Linked DNA regions of Ovis aries. The protein of the gene in region 1 interacts with the protein of each later gene in a pairwise test. Links are inferred from orthologs where the notes say so. Each region holds a gene or a part of one and is shown on either strand. Other genes may lie near its edges.

Region 1 (7,213 bases):
TTATCCTCTGGCACATGGGTAAAGAGATTGGTTGCATTGTTATTTTAATTCTCATAGCATCTTCATCACCCTCACGACCTGCCCTCAAGTATCCCTAAATAGCCTAACCACTTTGTCCTTCCCCAAACCCTCCTCATTTAAAAGCCTCTGGGATAATGAAAAAAATAAAAAAATAAAAAAAAATAAAAGCCTCTAGGATAATGAATCTTCGGTCTCCCCACTTACATAAGAAAGCAGGAAAGGGCCTCTGCATCAGGACTCTGGGATAAGTGCTTTCGTGCCAAGGCTTTGTAGCGCTGCCAGCGCCGGAAGTTCTCATAAACACCCTTGGAGGTATAGAAGAGGTCACCCAATGAGGGCTTGGGTCGGGTGGCTGTAGGACCTCCTTCCCCGGTTGTCCCTTGCGGCCCTGGCCAAGCCTTTTCTGGGGGTACGATGGGGGCCAGTTGGGCAGCTGGTGGTGGAGCCTGAGCAGGAAGGCACGGGACACCCTCCTGGTTCAGCCCAGCAGCCTTAGTGGGCAGAAGGGTCTTCACATTAGAGGCTGTCAGGAGCCCGGGGGCAGGACTCTCAGGACCCCCGCAGGGAGCGCCAGAGGCAATCCAACTGAGGGCGGTCTGAGTTAGGATAAAGTTCTGAGTCTGAGAGGGCTCAGCTGACCCCGCTTCTGTCTTGACTTTGACAATGACTTTGCCAGCTCCGGCTCCACTGGGGCCAGGGCCTCCATCCCCGGTCACCAACAACGAGCTGGGGAAAGCAGAGAGGACCAGAGGGTTGCCTGGAGAGAATGCTGAAGGCACAGGGGGCTGCGAGGGCGGCTCCCATGGTGGTGGGTCTGGTGGGCCAGGAGCAGGTTGGGGGAAGGTAAGTGCAGTGAAAGGAGACAGGGCGGTGCCAGGATTCATGGCCATGTCCGATCCTGGCAATGGAGATGCTGTAGAGACAAAAAGAGGGGATACAGTAGCAGAAAAAGAGACCAAGAGCTAGGTCATCTGAGTTCAACTCTAGTCCCTGAAGAAGCAGAGCACTGATTCTCAGTGAGTGAGTGAGTGGGAACACGTATATTTGCAAATGTCCCCCAAGTGTTTCTGATGTCCCTTACTCCCTGTTGAGAATGACTGCACTAGGGAAGTTGCAATGACTTTGGACCCACGAGCTCATACTCCATAATACATGCCACCCAGCATACAGGTACATTCCAAACACGTTCAAGCCACCTGGACCCTGCTCCCAGCTTCTCTGTGGTCCCTGCCACCACTCACAGAAGCACTCTTCCCAGGAGGGGATGTGTGGGTTAGAGGTTTTGTTCCCAGAAATTTTGTTACTTAGCAGCCAGGAATGACTAGAGGTAAGAGCCAGGAAGTGGGTAAAGGGAGGGCGGTGTGGGGAGGGAGGTTTCCAGAGCTTCAAGTAGATGCTAGACATACTATAATGTTTATCTGTGATCCTTCTGCTTGAAACTCCTAATGCCAGAAATTTAGGGTCCACTTTTGAAAGGCCCTGACCATGAAGTCTGAGACACAGTTCAGGGGCTATGTGGACTCTAGTCAAAGAGACCAAGGATAAATATATTAAAACGTGTACTTAATCAGGACATGTGTCTCCTAGGACTTTCAATAATAACAGATCATCTGCCTAATTTCAGGTTGCTCTCCTCCCCCTCTTAGATTATTCTGCTGGCAAATTAACAACGTTCAGCTTCTGCTGCTTCCTGACCACTGAAGGAGACAGGGAATACGAGCAGACTCTTCACCTCAGGCACAGAGCAGAGGACCAGGAATACTCCCTGAAGAACGGAACACAGTGAAATGGGTCTGAGGCCTGAGTTGCGCAAAAGGCAGAAAGTCAGAGCGTCTCAGGGAAGCCCCAGTCCTCATCTCTGCTAGAGTGACCCACCTCCCCTGACCCTGGGAAAGCAAGGAAAACTGCTCCCTGCACGAAAAGAGAAGCCCTCGCTGGGGCTGGAAGGAGACAGGAGGCTCTGAGCAGAGGCACTTACTGCACCTCCTCATCTAGCTTCTAGGAGGACAGTTCTCGACGGACTTGGCAACAGATGGCCCCACTGAACAGTTTTCCAGACAAGGCTTCCACTCCCTACACCCAGTAAAATTGAGAGCGGCCCTAGATCAGTTCTCTCAGGGCAAATTCTAGAGCAGCCTCCAATTGCCTAAAGAAGACACCAGAACTTGGGCCTTCCACTGGAACCCCCCTGTGTCCCCCATTCCACACACATCCCTGCCCCTGCCACACAAACACATGCTGAAGGTCACCCTCTTCCAGAGAAGCAAGTTGCTAACTACCATCCCTTCTCTCTACTCAGCACTTTCCTCAGAGGTGCTCTGATCTGCCACCTAGGAGGCCCCCTTCCTTCCCCAACCCCTAGTATTAACAGCACCATCTCCTCCCCCAGTGTGATGCCTCTGGTGGTGTCTGGTGTTCTCACATCCCTCTAGGTCAGCCCTGAGAGCTCGTCCCCAGGTAAAGTGTCAAGTTTTGAATCGCTAAAGAGGGAGCTGGTGGCAGAGGACCCTCCCCTACCGGCAGGCTCACCTCCATCTGAAGACATCGTCTCAGGTTTGGGCACTAACTGTGGCTGTCTGGAAGCCTCCAGAATGAGACAGGCAGGTCCAGGACCCAGAGAGTAAACTCCAGTCGAAACACAGGGATCCAAGGAAGGGAGGGTAAACATCAGATCAAAACAGAACTAGAATCTAGAACTCAAGGCATCATTCTACAGTGGGGGGAAGGGAGGGGGAAATGGGAAGTTAGGGAGATATTCCACAAAGGACTCTGGTATGTAGGCAGTAACCAGGAATGCCCTCCAAACCAGAGTATGGCGACACAATTGTGTATCTCTTCAGGACAACTTGCCAATTATTTCTCAGATTCCCAACCACGTAGTTTCACATCTTGGTTCCCTATACACTTCTTCACCAATATATCTAGTTTTGTGCCTTTCAATTCTACCCAGTTTTGTACCTGACTTCCTATTAACAGCAGACTGTGGCAAACTCTTGACAATTCAATGTTTGCTGTATTTTCTAAACCAAAATCAAAGCACATAGTCTATATATTTACGGATCAAGTGAACAGAATGTTTCAAATTAGGGTTGTCTCACAATATCAAGGGTGCTGATTTGCTGTATGTATATCATTTCCTTAGAAAGCTGTTTTGCAGTTCCCAAATAGACTATTACCATCACCTCTGCAGTCCACAAACAGCTCAGCCATACCCTGGGCTGAAAAGCTTCCCACTTAATCAAAAACTGCCACTCAGAGTAAAATTCCAAGACCCAAAAGTCTTTTTTGTTTGTTTGTTAAATTATTTTTGTGGTTTTAAATTTTGTTAAATAATTTTAATTTTTAAAATGGGTAGTACATCAGGACTGTTCAAAAGTCAGACTATTTAAAATGGAGTACACAGCAAGTCCACCCCCCGTCCTACTCCTTCTGGAACCAAGTTGAGCTCTTTATGCCGGAGGAAATCAGATTTATTCTGGATCCTCACTGAGATATTTTATACAACTACAAGCAAACACAAACTATACTTAAAAAAAAAAAAACCAACTTTAAGGTTTTTCTGGTTATAAAGCTGCATATATCTTCCAACGTTTTTCGCCATTATAAATCATACCGCAATGGTCACCTCGGTTAATGATATCTGGGTTCCAATTTTCATTTCTTTAAACCAGAATCCTATAAAGAGAATTTGTACGTTCTTTTAAAAATTCGCCATACCTCTAAGAGGCGCATCTTATCACGCTATTATTAGCTACTCACCACTACAGAGAGTTGAATTTGTGGCAGAGACCTGAGTTTGAATCTTGGGTCGACCACTAAAATATGCTTCACCGGTTTCGTAAAATAACTTCACGCTCTTTTCGCTGTGCAGAATATGGAATACCCATCGTGCATTTTTACCGCCAATGTTTGAAACAGGGCGAGAGAACCGGATGTAAAATAGGGGAAGGAAGAAAATCTTCTTTCTTTCCTAAGGTAAAGGAGGCTCTGGATCCTGGAGCCTTTAGTTCTGCAGGTACTAGAAACTCATTGCCTCTGAAATGGGTGTGCATCTTGAAATAAAAACAGGATAGTATTCAGTTATGTTTAATCTATATCCATCCCTACTCCCCTCTCTCCCTAGCAGTACCAGGCCCACAGTGGGCACACTGCACGTGTCGTACAACTCCTACAAGATTGCAACTGGGTTGCAACTGGTCACGTTCTGAGCTAGTGCGCCTCCTTCTGTCCGGCTGGAGAAAAGTCTAGATAAACTGGACTACAATTCCCGGCGTGCTTTCAGAGCGAGACTTCCGGCTGTACAGGAAGGAAATTGACCAACACGTGAGGCCTTCAGTTAGAGGCAGCTGCGGACAGAATTGGAACGTCCTGCTTTAGTGTGATCATGTTTCTCCAGTATTACCTCAACGAGCAAGGAGAGCGAGTCTACACGCTGAAGGTGAGAAGGGTAAACGGGCTGGATGTCAGCTTAGCGATGCATGTCATTGGAAGGAGCGGTCGGGAGAAGACAGTGAGTTGCCTAGCTGCTTGGGCGGGGGCGGGGGAGGGGGCGGGACTAGAAACTCCAGAAGCCGCGCGTGGTATTAATTAATGGAAGCAGAAATGCGTGGCTTCTAGATCTTACCGTCGCGTCTCCTGTTTTCATGTTTGCCGTTTTTGCGCGGCCCCTGATGTTGAAGCTCAAACTCCAATGCGTTGGCCACCTGATGCGAAGAGCTGACTCATTTGAAAAGAGCCTGATGCTGGGAAAGATTGAGGGCGGGAGGAGAAGGGGAAGACAGGATGAGATGGTTCATCACCGACTCCATGGACATGGGTTTGGGTAAACTCCGGCAGTTGGTGATGGACAGGGAGGCCTGGCGTACTGCGGTTCATGGGGTCGCAAAAAGTCGGACACGACTGAGCGACTGAACTGAACTCCCCATCCCAGCCTCCATCTCCCTTTTGAGGCCAGGGATTGCGTTTTCCCACCATTCCAGTGCTGAGATTATGTTCTTTCCTCCTCGAGCAGAAGCTTGATCCTATGGGACAACAGACGTGCTCGGCCCACCCTGCTCGATTCTCCCCAGACGACAAATACTCTCGACACCGAATCACCATCAAGAAACGCTTCAAGGTGCTCATGACCCAGCAGCCGCGCCCCGTCCTCTGAGGATGTCTTAACATTTCATGTGTCTTCTGCTGCCTGCCAGCACCCAAGAGACTTTCTGCAGCCAGGCTCTTCAGTCTGTGAGCCTGGAAGCTTGCTCCGACCCTTGCCCCTCGAGTCCGGTCTCATCTTTGCCTTCGATCATGCTTGTTGTGAAGCAGTCATGGTAGCATCCCCGTCCAAGGGAGATATCTGAATATTTTCGTACTTTGAATCACTGCCAGGTTATTAAAATGATTTCAAAGAGCTGTTATTTTGTATGTTGTGGGAAGAAAGGAGTGGTTTAAAAAAAAAAAAAAAAACGAGGGAAACGAGAGGGAAGAGTACCCCAGGGATACAAGACCACTTGGAAGAGAAACTTAGGCGACTGCTGTAGCAGTCGTGCTGTGCTGTGAGTCATAGCAGGGTGCTAGGGTAGGGGAAGAAAGCTTGAGAAAGACTTGTGCAACTGTTAGCATTAAGTAAGAAATACCCATGTTGTCAGTTAAGTAATTTTTTGTCCCTTGAAATGAAATTTCACTCAAAATGGAAGAGTTGCTTGAAAAATAATAGCAGCTATATGGGAGGAGGAAGATGTTGAATTGGAAGCCAGAAAATGAGTATTCACCCCTCTATAACTCTGAGAAAGTCAACCTGTTTAGTTCCGTTTTTCTCATCATTCCTAAGTACTCTTCCACCTCTAAAATTGATAGAGTTCAGTGATAGATCTTAATTCATCCAACCATTGTGAATAGGAATGTCTTTATGCATTTTTACTGCTCCTCTGGAAATATCTTGGAGGGTTTTCTTTTAATCCTGGAAGATTTCTTAGGCCATGAGCTTCTATCATGGGGCAACCATAAATTTGTAATCCAATTTCTTCATAGCATAGGGATGATGAGGCAAAATACAGGCATTCAAGAAATGATTGCTCCTTCCTCTCCTTAAGTCAGTTGGGTACTTCCTGAACTTCTTATTTGTGGCTTTTGACATTGAATTGAATGTTTGCCTAGTGCCACTGTAACGTACATCAGCCCAAATTTGATTTATCAAGACTGGCCCTGGAAAGGGGTAAATATGTTTCTCACTGATGCTGATGTCTGACTGTCCCAGCAGAAAAGAATAGTTGACTGTTGAGAGAAAAAAGAAAAATCTAAAGACTTGGGTCATACGTAGTTAATAAAAGACATGATTTCCAGTTCTATTACTTATGAGAATGGTGAGATGGGATACTTATTTTCTGTCAAGCAATTTTTGGTTTCTTAGCCTCTTCACTTATGGCTCTTAGTATTAAAGAGATTGTAAAAGCTTGTCCTGTCCTATTAGAGGTTAATGTTTGAAGAAAGGCTAGAAATTCTGCAAATGACTAGGGAAAAAGGTTCTGCTAAGGAAGTATTTAAAGAACTAACTTCAGGGGAATTCTTGGTGGTTAGGACTCCCAGCTTCCGCTGTCCCTGGGGTGGCAAGCTGCTGCATGGGGTGGCTAAAAAAATAAGCAAATCCTATCTTTTTGTTTTTAATGCAGACTGTGACTCTGTCTTTAAAAGCTACACTGACCCCCCAAAAAAGGATTAGCATTTTTGATACCACCTACTGTGTAGACTAAGGAAAATTCAAATTGGTGTGTATATAGCGAAGATTTTTTTCTTTAGAGATCTCCTAGGTATCTGAGATGTTCTCAGAAATGGGAAACTCTTTAGTATAAAGTGAATGAAAATACACTGTGGAATGAAACAAAATTCAATGTTGTAGAAATCTAGGAATTTTTTTTCTTTTTTTTTTTTTTTTTTTAGTAAGGGGAATGTCTGTAAGACTGAACAGCAAGCCTGCCTAAAAAGAAAACTGATCAGGGAGCTAAATTTCTTGCTTCTGCAAGAAAACTGTAAGCCCGAATCAGTATCACAGGCTTTATAAAGAATCAAGCTTTGAGGAGATTTACATTTTAAATAGGAATCTACTTTACATTTTGTTACCTGTAGCTTTTAAACCAGACTGTGGACTTTGTGTCATGTAATAAAAGATTTCCTGGCTCAGGTCTTCAATACTGTTCTCATCTGTTATTAA
Region 2 (7,158 bases), on another chromosome or scaffold:
GCATGTCAGCAGGGACGGGGGCATCTGCAGCACCTCGTCCACCGGCTCCCTGGAAGGAAGGCCACGCATTAGGGATGGCCTCACCTCGGGGAGACCAGCACCAGGGGCTCAGGAGTCACACTGCGCCCCGCAGAGAACCTCACTCAATTGTCTGGTGACATCGGAGAAAGGAGGGGAGGAGCATACACCTAGGGCCGACGATGGGCAGGGAGGCCCCGCCAGCCTTGGGTTAGGACAGGAAAGGGGCTAGCCCCTACGTTCTAGATCCTAGAAGAAGCAAGGGCGGGGCACCAAGAGGCACCCAGGCAAAGGGTACTGCACACCCCCGTCCACCTACAGCCCAGCCCCCTCCCAGACCTGTGGTCTCTCTTCTTCTTGATCCCCCCTCCCCTCAAACTCTACCTCCACACCTCATCTCTTTCCTCCCCCCATATCCCGGAGCCAAGGGCACTGCCCAACCCCAGAGGAGGCACCAGGACTCTAAGAGCTGCTTGTGGCCAGAACAGTGACTAACTAGCGGATTAAACATCTTCAAATTCCCTTTTGAATCTCTGCGCCACCTGGACTCCATCCCTTTCCAACTGCACGAATGTAGAGGTGAGGAAGAAAGGGTCCCCAAATTATTTTAGGTTGCTTTCTCTTTCCCAAATAAAAATACCATCAAGATATAATAGAAATTCTCATTATTATTATTTTTAACAGAAACTCCACATCCTATCCTTCTTACGGAATGAGTCCTTGAGGAAAAAATCTCAGGTGTTGATTAAAGCCACTGTTATATTTATAAAGATCAAACAGAACTTTTTGCACATGAACACTTTTACAGCAGCAAATCTGATTCGCATGAAGTTGATTTAGGAAAGAGAATGGGGAGAGAGTGTGGAAGGCAATTAAACACTGAAATCTCCTCCAGGCAATTGTTAAGAGTGAGCCTGTGACATGTGTTCTTTCATTACAAAATCATATAGTGTCCCCAGTTCACTTAACTGGAATCTGAATCCTTTTGTTTTACATTTTAAAAGAAATAACTCTACTTGCCAGAAGAAGATAAAAAAATAATAGGGTGCGAGAAATGATTCCTGCACCAGATGGGACATGGGAAAAACTGAGTACCTGTTGATCTGTAGCAATTAACAAATGCTCTCTTGAACTTCACTCAAACACAAATCTATTTATCAAAAATCTGTTATGTTTGGAAAAATGGACTTGCTTCTAACTGTGAAACTCCCAAAGGGAATTTCCCCCTTGGTACCTTGAGGATATAAATCTGTGTCTCCTATTTCCAGCTGATGCTGGCTTACTTGGTGACCTTGCATCCTGACTGGCCTGTGCCCACAGCATTTAAGGCCCTTTATACTTAGGAAGGATGAGGCTCAGGGAATCAGTGTTGATAACACACTCTGACACCTTCAGAGAACTGTCTTTAAAGTGCACGCTTCCCTGTGAATATTCAAGCATATTGAAACCGAGCCCACACTTTGCAGAATGGGTATGAGGGTCCTTTGTGAGATGATCTCCTTTTAGCCCAGGGAACTGTAAAACCCAAACTAATTATCTCCTAAAAACTCCACACTTTAAATAGAGTTTTAAACATCCACTGAAGCCTGACTTGTCTTTGTTTCCACAGGTTATGTATAAGGACTTCCACCCTCCCTCCTGAAAAAATAAAACACCCAGCATTTCCCTGTGCCTCAGAATCACTTCTCTTCCCTTTTCACAGCCCGTGGCCTTATTTAGGCTTTCAGAAACATTCATGGAACCTCAACACCACTGGATGCCCTGACGCAGATCCTGCCAACCAACTGTGAAAGAAGAGAATTTGCACTTAGCTGGTGCAAAACTGCCTGGAATTGAAATGAACTGCTCCTGTTATTCACAGGGAGGCAGGAGGGGCCACCGACGGCACAGTAGAGGAAATCTGTGTGTGTGTGAATTCTGGCTGTCTTTCTGTCTAAATGTTTCATTTGCATAGGCCTAGGCAAGTTTCTGGGTGTAATTTGGAGTTGCTGATCAGACTGACCTCAGTCACACTGACCCAAGTATGTACTCACTGAAGCATCTGGTAGGGTAGTGGTCCACAGGAGGAAATGTTAAGCCAAAAAGCTACTGTCTGTGATGGCCTAATATGAGATAGGAAAGGACTGAATAAGATATTGGCTCTATCTTTCTATAATTAAAGATAATATCACATTATCTTTGGTGGAGGTTCCAAGCCAATAACTGTGGGACTCACCCTCTAATTAATATTTTACATTCTCCTAGAGCCTATCTGAACATTACACCTCAATACACTTTGGCCTGGATTTCTGGGATAATTTCTCAACAGTTTCCAAGAAAGATATGGGGGAAAAATGTTCTGCAATAATTTCTCAGCTAGCTGGTCCATCTCCAATTAAAGCCTATCTTCACTGGGCAAATAGTGAAGCAAAGGATAGAGAAGAGCACCCTACTGAGCATCCTTCCGCAGATGCCTGCTGTGTTATGAGGTGAACATGTTTCAATTTTCCAGTCTCTTTGTGAAAAAGCACAAACTTTGAAAGGAGCAACCTTCCTTCAGGGAACTGAAACCTCCAGATTTATCTTCTAATAAAAAGATTAGTGACTAAGTTCTATTGATCGAAAAGGCATTAGGCACCTTTCAAAGGTAATTCATCCAATGCACTCTCTTATTGTATTACTATCATCTTGCCCAGGCTCTGAAAACTCAGGGCTAAGTTATCATTCTAGGTTTGTAAAAAAAAAAAAAAAAAAAAAGTGAGCAAAGCACCCTTCCCAGAGTTTTCCTAAACAAATACTTAAAAAAAAAAAAAAAAAGCAATGTTATTTTTTTCCCTGAGAATTTAAGGAAGCTGGGTTTTTGTTAGAACAAACCTGACTCCTTGTAGATCTGGCTTCTGAACCTTCAAGATTGAATAGTGATGTTTATATTCTCACTGGATCATGGTTACTTCCTGTGTTTTATGAGAACACGCTGAGCTTTTATGCTGGTAAAACCCAGGTATATAAACACCATAGGAGGCTGAAATTGGGAGGAGGAGGTATTTCAATCAGGAAAGCACAATTCTTTTAAAGCAGGAAAAGAAAACAAAACAAAACAAATGCCTCTTAAAAGCACAAATGGACAAGTCATTAACCAGCTCCTTTGGTCTGTGTAACAAATCCCTTCAAAGGATTTAGATGGGGACTTCAAAGGAATAAAAATTCTCAAAACCAGACAGCTAATGAATCTTAAAAGGGCATTTGCGCTGACGGGAAAATGACATCTTAAACATCCCTCTCTCCCCATGTTAACACTGAGCAATGGGCTCAGAAAACAAATGCGGTTCATTTAGAGCTCTGTTTCCCAGACCCTAAACCCTTTGAGATTGTGACAAAAGCCGTTTAAGACTCCGCTCTCCGGAAAAATTCACCTATATCCAAAATGGTGCACTAACTTTGGAGGTTCAAAGGTACCCATCGGTGGACTCCGAGGGGAGAGGCGTGTCCGCGTATCCAGACTAACTCCCGTGTTGCTCGGCTGCTCTAAAGTCTCTGGAGGCCTGGGTGAGCTCCGAGGTGAACTCTCGCACCTCCTCACCCGTGGGTCCCCGGCGCCGTGGGCAACCGCTCCACCTGCGGACCCGGAAGGGGACCGTCGGGGACCCGGGGTGGGGGGCTCCACTTGTAGTGTCCCCCTTTCCAGGACCAAACGGACAAAGAGAAGGAACGAGAGGGGAAAAGGGAGCAGAATCGAGTCCTGAAGGCTCTCGGGACTGCACCGGCGCGCCTCTGACCTCCCCTTGTGCATGCTCCTGTGCAAACTTTCTGGCCCGAAGTGGCTTTAGGGAGCGTCCCAGGGAGCCGCGAGGGGCCCGCTGAGGCGCCGGGCCGACCGCATTCCTGCCGCCCGCCACCAGCCCCTCTCCCAGTGTCCCCGGGGTCACCCAAGAGGATGCGGGAGCCCCGCGCACGGCAGAGGGAACCAAGGGCACGCCGCGGGCGCGCACCTGGAGCCTTCCCGCCGGCCGCCCGCCCCACCCCGCCGCTCCGGGTCGCGAGGCCGTGGACCCTCGGTGGCAGGGGCGTCACACTTACTCAGATGGGTCCAGGCTCTTCCTCTCGATGGCCGAGGACATTGGGGAGGGAGGTGGCGTGCCAGGCGGCGGGGGCGCTCCCTTTGTGGCGCGGGGCTGGCCGGCTGCCGGGGCTCGGACCCCCTCGGGTGCTCGGGCGCCGCCGCCGCCGCCGCCGCTCCTGCGCCTCTTCTTGCTCCGGCGCTCTGGCGGCGAGCTCGCCCCTCCGCGCTCAAGGACAGTCACCGCGCTCCCTTCAAACGCCAAAGAGAGAGAGCGAATCACCGGGCTGCCGGCGCGCCGCGGCCGAGGAGGGGACCGGGGCGCGCAGCCTGGCCCCGGGCGGCTGCAGCTGCTACTGCTGCTCAGGACTTAACCTTCCATCCCGGTCCCGCCGCCACTGCCGCCGCCGCCGCCGCCGCCGCCGCCGGGTCTGGCTCGGCTCGCGCGCTGTCGCCGGCTCCGCGCCGCCCGCGGGGATGGTGCGCGCCCGCCCGGCCGCCCCGCGCCCCTCGCACCTTCAGCCGGGGTCGCGGCGCGCAGCTCGCCGCCGAGGGCAGGGAGGGGGCGGCGGCCTGGGGGCGGGGAGGGGACCGCGCCTCTCTCCCCCGGCTCCCTCCTCTCTCGGGAAGGTCTATTTTCGCTCAGCTTCCCTCTGTCTCTGGTTTCATTTCCTTTTTCCTGATCACGATTCAAATACAATAGAAGGAAATCACATTTAAAGAGACAGCTGCCCGGTCCCCCCCGCCACCACCATCTTTTTTCTTCCCTTTTTTTTTAAACGGGGCTCCTGGGGATTAGCGATACAAACAGCGGCAGCCGCAGCAAGACTGAGTTGGCTTCTTAAAGGGGCCAGCGTCGGGGACAAGGGAGACTCGCTCAGAGACCACCTCTCCTTGGAGAGGCGGCTGGGTTGCCTGTGAAGCATTCTTTAGGGCTTTCCCTCTTCGGCGTTCCCCTTTTGGTTAACTAAGATTGAAAGTGACCAGCGGGCCGCTCAAGGAAGAAAGAAAAAACGAAAATGTGAAATAAACACATACAGAGATGTACGCGTTCCAAGTGGCTTTCGCGCGCGTCCGGGGTTGGAGGTCCCAGGTCCGCGGCCAGGGAACGCGGAGATGCCCCCAAGACAGCGCGGCTCTGCTGGCTGAGGACTTGTGACTGCGTCCGCGCTCCAAAAAGACGACGGGAGCTGTGCGAGCAGGGACCGCACGGGCTGGGTACGCCTCAGCAGCACCAGGGGCAGCTAATCCCGAGGGAGGGTGTTTGGGAGGGACCAAGCTGGTCTGAGTCTCCTCTCCATCTGCCGGCGGCAGAATTCCCTCCCTCAGCATCTTTAAAAATCGGACCCCTACAGTTAAACTGGCCCCGTAAAGGGCCAATAGCACTCTTCACAGAGAAAAGTGCCTCTCCAATGATGGAGAGCAATGCTTGGAGACTATTTTGCCCTGGGTCAGGAAAAGAGAGAGAACGCAGACTTGTTTGGTTCAGGCTTCCCCATCTAATCTCAAGGGCAAACTCCAAGAAGAGAGGCGAATGTAGAACGGGAGAGGAGGAAGCTAAAAGTCTTCTCTTCAATAGAGCAAAGCTTTAGGTCCCTTGGGCCTCATCAGAGATCCCTGAAAATAATTGCATTCAGAAATTATTACTAAAGGCCTACTTGAGCGTGCCACAAGTCTTGTAAAGAAGAAACTACCAGTATTCTCAGGATCCATGGTTTTATAGGAGCAGTCTAGATCATGGTCATGGACACTGTATTCCCTTTTTAAAGATGGCACTGAAGGGTCTGGATGAAATCACCCTGGAAGGTGAAGTCAGAAGTACATCCCTGTAGGCTTCGTTTTCCTTGTTTAAAGCTGATTCTAACTTCTTACATGCATACCTAGAATTTACCATTGTCTGCATGCTCTTGTCCTTTTCTTATGTCCATGTCCAAAGCTTAGGTCCCTATGGGTATAATGAAAATCTCTTCCTAATTCCTCCACTGTCTCCTGTGTGTGTGTGTGTGTGTGTGTGTGTGTGTGTGTGTGTGTGTGTGTGTGTGAAAGGAAGTCTTAAGAGCAGATTTGGGTCCAACTCAAGCCTTTCAATCTAAAAAGAACTTCTGCTCAGGTCCCTGTTTTTAATTAAAAAAGGAAAAATGTCTAGTATTTTTAAGTCAGTCTAAATTATGTGATAAACATATAACCCACCACTCTACAATCAAAAATGAAAATAAACAAATAGGCTTTGATGAGCAATTCACCTGCTTACAACCAATCAGTGTGGTGGTGAAACGCTCAGACTTCGGCATTGGACTGCCTGCATTTGATTTAGGCTCTTACTTATCAGCTAGTGGAGCCTATCTAGGAAAGTCACTTAATCTGAAGAGGCAGTATTGGGTAGTGGCTGTGGAGTCAGGCTGCCTTCATAACAACCCACGCTTTCCTACCTGTGAATCTAGTGGAAGAGCAGGAATCTATAAACTCCCAGGATCCTTATCTGTCAGTAGGGGTATGAGAGCCTGTTGCATCAACTGTTGTAAGGATTAAAAGAGTAAACGCATGCAGTGTGGCCCGTAGACCTGTAATGAACTGAGGATAATAATGGATATGAGATTACATGCCTGCAAAGCATTTGGTGTATATTAAGCACTCATAAATGGTCATTTCTGTGTTGTAGAAAAAAATCGCTGGGAGAATTTAGAGAGTTTGAAATTAAATTCACAGGTGAAATGGAGGTTAAAAATAAGAACTTCCCAATTTCCCACCTAGATTTGAAAACCTGTCCCATTTTTAAAAAGCAAACAGAATGGTGTCCTTTCACTTCACCTCCTTGTGCTAGTATACAAAACATACATGCATTTTCCAGTTCACTATCTTGATGACTGCGTGATGTGTTTTCATCTGCTTGCTTTTATTAAATCTGATAAGTTGCTTCCTTCCTTGCTATATAGTTTTGCATGGAGCCTAAGTTAGTTGTTAAATTAAATATATCCTTGGGTTTCAGGAGGTAACCTCCAAACGGCCAACTTTGGGACCTGAAGTTTCCTTTTAATAATATGCTTCTGTTTTGACCCGAATGTGTAAAGAAAGAGTGATTACTGATGACTTTGGGTCAGTTTCTT

What was found. The genes of interacting proteins can lie anywhere in the genome.
Region 2: the proteins of NUTM1 (region 1) and LMO2 interact in binary tests that used the Homo sapiens proteins (3 or more experiments, as listed by UniProt). The two-hybrid records come from large-scale screens. The link is inferred for Ovis aries from reciprocal best matches to the Homo sapiens genes NUTM1 and LMO2.

The regions. Positions count from the first base shown.
Region 1 is NC_056060.1:26,483,507-26,490,719, forward strand, and holds the start of NUTM1 (NUT family member 1), read right to left. Parts: upstream 4,319-7,213; 5' UTR 3,781-4,318; intron 3,697-3,780; 5' UTR 3,635-3,696; intron 2,732-3,634; 5' UTR 2,690-2,731; coding exon 2,551-2,689; intron 935-2,550; coding exon 226-934; intron 1-225. Other genes in the region: NOP10 (H/ACA ribonucleoprotein complex subunit 3), read left to right, coding at 4,406-4,459, 5,033-5,173. UniProt on the Homo sapiens protein: Plays a role in the regulation of proliferation. Regulates TERT expression by modulating SP1 binding to TERT promoter binding sites.
Region 2 is NC_056068.1:63,294,884-63,302,041, forward strand, and holds the start of LMO2 (rhombotin-2), read right to left. Parts: upstream 4,579-7,158; 5' UTR 4,437-4,578; coding exon 4,430-4,436; intron 4,307-4,429; coding exon 4,075-4,306; intron 50-4,074; coding exon 1-49. UniProt on the Homo sapiens protein: Acts with TAL1/SCL to regulate red blood cell development. Also acts with LDB1 to maintain erythroid precursors in an immature state.